Xenopus tropicalis: one gene and its partner. The protein of the gene in region 1 purifies or fractionates together with the protein of each later gene. This does not show direct contact. Links are inferred from orthologs where the notes say so. Each region holds a gene or a part of one and is shown in the gene's direction. Other genes may lie near its edges.

What was found. Proteins that work in one complex are often made in the same cells at the same time.
Region 2: the proteins of exosc3 (region 1) and dis3l purify together in Homo sapiens (affinity purification with mass spectrometry; 6 studies listed by BioGRID and IntAct, counting the BioPlex papers as one, with this or other methods). This does not show direct contact. The link is inferred for Xenopus tropicalis from reciprocal best matches to the Homo sapiens genes EXOSC3 and DIS3L.

The regions. Positions count from the first base shown.
Region 1 is NC_030677.2:113,704,398-113,707,645, reverse strand, and holds part of exosc3 (exosome complex component RRP40), read left to right. Parts: intron 1-756; coding exon 757-906; intron 907-2,979; coding exon 2,980-3,131; intron 3,132-3,248. UniProt on the Homo sapiens protein: Non-catalytic component of the RNA exosome complex which has 3'->5' exoribonuclease activity and participates in a multitude of cellular RNA processing and degradation events.
Region 2 is NC_030679.2:117,124,871-117,128,529, forward strand, and holds part of dis3l (DIS3-like exonuclease 1), read left to right. Parts: intron 1-4; coding exon 5-532; intron 533-707; coding exon 708-862; intron 863-1,621; coding exon 1,622-1,788; intron 1,789-2,893; coding exon 2,894-3,039; intron 3,040-3,659. UniProt on the Homo sapiens protein: Catalytic component of the RNA exosome complex which has 3'->5' exoribonuclease activity and participates in a multitude of cellular RNA processing and degradation events.

The DNA.
Region 1 (3,248 bases):
AAAACTAAGATTTAAATTATAGGACAAAATCCTAAAATAATAAATTAAAGGATGTTTTGAAAGTAAAAGACAGCAATCGTACGAAAGTGACATCCTAGAAATGCATTCCAAGCAGGGCTGGAACTAGGGGTAGGCAGAAGAGGCACCTGCCTAGGGCGCAATGGTGGCCCCAATGGGGGCGCCAGTTAGCTTCCTCTTCTTTTACCTACCTCTAGTTCCGAACCCTGTTTCCCCACTGCAGCAGCCCTGGCAACCCCACCACCCAGTGTGCAGGCATGTCTTCTCACTTGCGCATGCAAGAGGGGAGGGGAGGGGCAAGCCGACCAGGTTGCCTAGGGCGCCTGGTTGGCTTGTCCCAGTACTGCCCCCAAGGATGTTTTGTATAATTATGTTGGTGCGTATATGTATGTATAACTTTCATTTTTTTTTTTTTTTTTATATATGGTGTAAATGTCTATATGTCTTGATGTTTTTTCCCACACAGCTTTATAAATTATATAAATACATTTTATTTTATAAACATATTTACTGATTTAACCACACGCACACTTTTACACAGTACAAACACGTGCATTTAACCACACACATACATTTTAACACACACGCACACACATACATTTTAGCTCCATTATGCTTGGGTGTATTATATTGAGATACTCATGGGATGGGGGTGCAGTTAAACTCTAAACATAATCTGTTATTGCTGTGAAGGAACAACGGGGACACACTTTAATTCTTCCACTTGTTATCTTATAGTATGTACCAGTGAAAGGAGACCATGTTATTGGAATTGTAACTACAAAATCAGGAGACATATTTAAGGTGGACGTTGGAGGCAGTGAGCAAGCATCATTGTCCTATCTGGCATTTGAAGGTGCAACAAAGAAAAACAGACCAAATGTTAAGGTAAAATGGTTTTCTGAATTTTAGAAATTTATCAATGTAGAACTCTGAGTTAGAAAGAAGTGTCCCATCCACATGCTATCATCATGGTTGTAAAGAGTTAAGGGATAGTTTACCTTTAAATTAAGGTTTAATATGTTGTACACAGTCTTCTAAGTCAGCCATTTTGTGTATTTAAATTGATTGTTATTGTAGCTGTTTGGTTGCTAGGACTTAATTGTCCCAGCAACCAAGCAGCAGTTTGAAAGTCAAAATGAAAAATGAATAGGAAAGATAAGCAATAAAAAAAATAACCATAGGAATTGAACTGCCTCAAGAAACATGGCTTAAGAACTATCAAAACGTCTGTAAAGGGAGCTACAATGTAGCAATAATGCAAAGCTCACTTAAACTATTCCACAGGACCTATTATGTGCCTGATAGACTTTGTCGAATCTACCCTACATCCTCGCCACCTTGCTTCAGGAACTGTACTTCACGAGGCACCATGTGGCACATCTGGTGGACCTGCCCAGTGGTCCAAGAACTGCGGACATTCTTACTAAACTGTTTCACACAAACATTACCCCATGTCCAAAGGTAATGCTTCTAGGACACAAACCACAAAACCTCAATAACCCAGCACAACGCCTTACACAGCACGTATGCATGGCAACAAAGATCCATATCGCAGCCCAATGGAAATCAAACTTATTATATGTTGAAAAGGTCCTGGAAAAAATTTTATATATACACACAAATGAGACTCTCAAATACCAACTGGAAAATGAAACAGAGTTATACCTGCAGATATGGGACACTTGGATACTAAATTAAGACTATGGGTAGCGTCCCTACCCCCAACCTGAGAAAAAATAATAGACAACTGTGGGAAAACGTAAACCAATAACAATGAATATCTCATACCAACACTGAAACACTGAGCGCAAAAAGTTATGTTGATTTCTGTTCTTTCTCTTTCCTTTTTTTTTTATGTTTCTTCCCTTCTCTCCCCTTATCCCCCCCCCCCTTTTTTTTCCCTCTCCCCCTCATATTGCCCTATTATGCACGTAAATATGCAGTTGAATGTAGAAGACTCTCTAAGTCTGATAATGCATCTAGCAAACAATATGCTATGTCTACAAAATATGTTAAAACTAAGAAAAATAAAAGTATACAAAAAAAAAAAAATAACCATAATTAGCCTCAAAGCCATTCTGTTTTTGAATGGATCAATTATTAGATATCATATTTGGATTCAGGCCAGAAAGAAGCAGAATAGAAAAGCTAGAAATGCTAAAACCATGAACAAAAATACAAAAAAATTGGAAAACAAGGAGAACTATACCCCCGGGCTATAAAAGCCCCCTTAACTATCACTGCCTTGACCCCCCTCACCTCTCCCTTACTGCATAGTTTCTAACTTTTAAAAATGTCCCTATCGCTAATCCTAAGCTAAAAGAGCAGAGTAGTGCAGCTGCGTACCTGGCTGACATCTTCCCTGTGAGTGAACAGTCTTCGGGTCTCTCCACCTTGCTTGTGCATACCCAGGGGGTATAGTTCTCCTTTAAAGGGGAACTTCCACATTGAGCTGATAGCCTTAGGGTTATGACCAACCATGGCATTACCTTGCCTTTTGTTTTACCGTTCCCTGGCGTAACCCACAAAAACACATGTATGGCTTGCTTCTTATTGTCATCCGTTTAGAGGATAGGTGTGATTTGTTTGAGAATTTGAAAAACAAAAAAAACGAAATAATTTGTAACTCTTTTAAACAGTTTTCAAATTACAATTACACAGAATCTCCAATGCCTTTAGGTAGTTAAGCAACAGTTGAAGCCCTGAAGACTGTATATCCCTTATGTATATCTTTTACATATGTTGATGAGACAGGTGACTGGACAGTTTGAGTAGGAGATATGTAAAGTGAGTGAAAGTGGAGTAGATGAACAAACTACATAAAATTTCCAGCTCCAGTTAATTTACATTTTTTTCAAAGCAAATCACACAGTAAAAACTGAAAGGTCCAATTAAAGACATTAAACAAACCCAGCATTTTTTTTCCTTCATTCCTAACTGAATTTTTCTTTGTTACAGGTTGGGGATCTTGTGTATGGGCAGTTTATTGTTGCTAATAAAGACATGGAGCCAGAGATGGCTTGCATAGACAGCTCCGGAAAAGCAAACGGGAAGGGTGTCATTGGACAAGATGGACTCATGTTAAAAGTCTCTTTGGGTTTAGTAAGAAAGTAAGCGACATCTTTATTTTCCCTTACGTAGTAAGCGCAAGCTAAAATGCTTGTGGGTATAAACAACTGTAACCTATAATAATTAGTTGAGTCATCTAGAAGGATCTGCTAGTATGT
Region 2 (3,659 bases), on another chromosome or scaffold:
ACAGGTATGCAGTAAGTGTAATCTGGGAAATGGACAGCAGTACGTATGAGATCCGCAGAGTATGGTATGGCAGGACAATTATTCGCTCCTCGTACAAGCTCAGTTATGAGGTGGCACAACAGCTGATGGATGGAGACCTTGAGCCTCTAAATACTGAAATGGAATTGCATCCCCTAAAGCAGGATCCAGTTCGACTGGAGCAGCTCCTGTGGGCAGTGGGCAAGTTGACTGAGGTAGCTCATGCCACCAGGATGCGGAGAGACATGAGTGGAGCTTTAGAACTGGAAGGGGTAGAGGTACGTGTCCAGCTAGGAGAAAAACACAGCATTGATGACCTTGTCCCTAAGCAGCCACTTCAGATGCATGAGACCATTGCAGAGTGTATGATCCTTGCCAATCATTGGGTGGCCAAGAAGATTTGGGAGTGTTACCCTCAGCATGCACTGCTACGCCTTCACCCCCCAGCTCGCCAGGAATTCTTCCAAGAGCTGAAGGAATGTGCAAAGGCCAGAGGATTTTCCATTGATACAAGGTAATATCTATTCTCCAGGTAACCCTTTTGTGATATAGGTTCATTGGATCAAGTCTAGCCAATATCAAATGTGGCTGGATAAGCCAACATCCATTAATTATCAGGGCTTATCAGGAGATTTGAGCAACTGGTCTCACAATTTAATGACGTTCACATCTGTTTGTTTCTCTGACAGATCTAATAAAGCTCTTGCAGATTCACTTGACCAGGCAAATGACCCTTCTGATCCTCTGGTTAACCAGCTGTTGCGAATGATGGCTACACAGGCTATGTCTAATGCCCGGTACTTCTCTACAGGCTCATACACTGAGGATGAGTTCTATCACTATGGTGAATATAACAAACTCTGCATTTGTATAAAGTCTTACTCAAACAGCCAATAACACATTTAGAAATGGAAATGTTTTAAACAGAGTCCCGCATGTTTTTTAACTCACTAGCATTGCTTGAATTAGATTGGATTGGTTTTAATGATGAAGCCTTCAAATGATGTGCCCATTGGTTTGAAAGGATTTTAGCAGATTGATAACTGGTCATATCTATGAAGCATGTATCCTCTTAACTTGTCTATATAGGGTCCCTCTTGTAATCTGATCATCACCTTGAGGGACAAATAGCATCAGCGCAGTTTGGTTTACCAAATTCATCCGATAAGCAGATCTGTTTATTGCTACTTGAATTTTCATTGAACAAAATAGGGTTGGCAGGACCTCCTAAGATAAGTAAAACAAAATAGCTGAACACTGCAATACTGAAATCAAACACAGCATAATAAAAGCAAGAGCTTATATTCCAAGAAAATATTTTGACAAGCACTTGGTATAAATATGTGCTACATTATTCAGATAAATCATTCCAATTTTTTGGTGTTACTGGTCCTTTAAAAATGTTATGAAAGGAACTGGCTTTTTACAAGCCAGGAAGGGTTTGTATAATTTTCTTTATTTTCTAGAATTATTTAGCTGCTATACAGACTTTCCATTTTGGACAGCTTCTGTCATGACATTTATACATTGAGACCGTTGTTGTAAGATGATTGTTCTAAGCAGCAGTGTGCATGTGTATAACTTGCATATCAATGTCTTTTAGGTTTGGCTCTTGAAAAATACACTCACTTTACTTCTCCAATTCGCCGTTATGCTGACATAGTGGTGCATAGGCTGCTCTTGGCCGCTGTTAACAAAGGCCCCAAGGATAATTTGCTTGGAAACAAGGATTTGGAAGAGCTGTGTCGGCACATAAATGTCCGTAACCGGGTAAGTGTACAGTCAAGTGCAAAGGGCAGGACTGGCAATTGGAACATTTCTATTCTGTATTGAAATTCTGTTGCCCAAATTCCATCTAAGCAACAAGGGGCTAGAGCCTTCCCAGAGACAGATATCACAGTGAATCCTAATTTAACTTTCTAGAATTTCAATGAAATATTTTTCAGCCTTATTTAGCATGCAGTTATCCATAGCAACTCTGCAGCAATACAGTTTTGCAAATTAGGTTGTAAAGCACTTTCTATGATGGTACATTCAGGGAGCACACTCGCCAAACCAATTTTGTATGGACCTCATTTTTTGTAGGGAGGAATAATTATGCTGAAACAGAAATGGCCTTTCACAAAATATAGCTAAAAAGTAGAAAGCACAGAATGATCTAGAATGTCATTATAAGGTTTGCTTTCCCTGTAAGAGGGTGCTTTAGCGTAAACCAGGAGAAAAAGACTATTATTTCTCTTCCACTAAGCTTTACAGTCAGCATTATGCATTTAAGCAGGTAGCATCCTCCTGGCACCCATCAAACCCAGACTTATTTGTCATACTGCCAGATGGTGAAGCTCAATTTGTCACTCTAGTGAATGTTTCCATGGGCCGGGGCACTGAGGCTTGGCATTGTGCTTGGTGATGTTAGGCTTGTGTGCAGCTGTTCACCAATGAAAACTAAACGTATTAAGCTCCTGAATACAGTGAGTGTCTGGAAGCCTTTGGCCATTTAGTGGGCAATGACTATCATTTAGCACTAATGTAACAAGAAAGGTGCCAAGTGTCCGTAAAGGGCTAAAAAAGATTTACTATATAATGGGAATATCTGTGACTAATGGATTATGGTTATGAAATCTGCTCTTTACTGCACATAGCTACTTTACCTGACATTACAATGTGTTCCTAAAGTGGCTTTCCTAAAGGTATAGTAAGTTCTTCCTGCAAACACCCTTAGTTTCTCTGCTTGTTAGTTTAGTTTTGTCTGAGAAACTCTCTTGTCCTAAAATACCTGGCTTTTACATTTGCTATCGATTTTCCATGTAAATGTTCAATGGTTGGAGTCAGCGGTATATAAGTGGTTTCCATTAATGCACCCTCTTATACTCCGCAGGCAGCCCAGCATTGCCAGAAACAATCCACTGAGTTGTTCCAGTGCATGTTCTTTAAGGACAAAGATCCTGACTCTGACCAGCGGTGTATTAGTGATGCTGTTATATACGGCATTCGCACAAATGGTGTGCTGCTCTTCCTACCCAGGTAATATATATGGCAACAAACCGATCACTCCAATATGCATGGTTCCTTGTTAGATGTTATTTCAAAACTTAGAATGACTTACCATCAAATTCTTACATTTCATTGAGATGGCCCTCTACTGAGTCACTCTTGTTAGCACTAGAAGTACAATATTTTTACCCATGAGTACATACCCCTCCTTCCTTGGAAGAGTGACAAAAATGAACTAGTCTGAACACTTGAAACAAGTTAGTCCTGGTCTGGATGGGGTGTGTGGTTGTTTCTTAATACTGAGGTTGACAGTATTGTTGCATAAAGGGATATTCCTAGGTTCCTCTGTCTGAACTTTGTATTTAACAAATAGCATATCAAGAGTTAAATTCTCTCATTAGCATTTTGCCTGTCTTTAATTTAAGAACTTGGTAAGATGGAAAGGGCCAGAATCTTCCTAGATTTAATTCTTGGCAAATAATACAAACACTGGCAATATTCTAGGCTAACCATATGAAGCCAGGCCTGTACAAAATTGTGGCACAATGGTGACAGTGTAAACATCTTTCCTCTGCCAGTGTGTGAAACATTGTGAGCAACAGATGGCTAGATATGGGAACAAGTTATAAAGTTATTATTCATGTAAAATC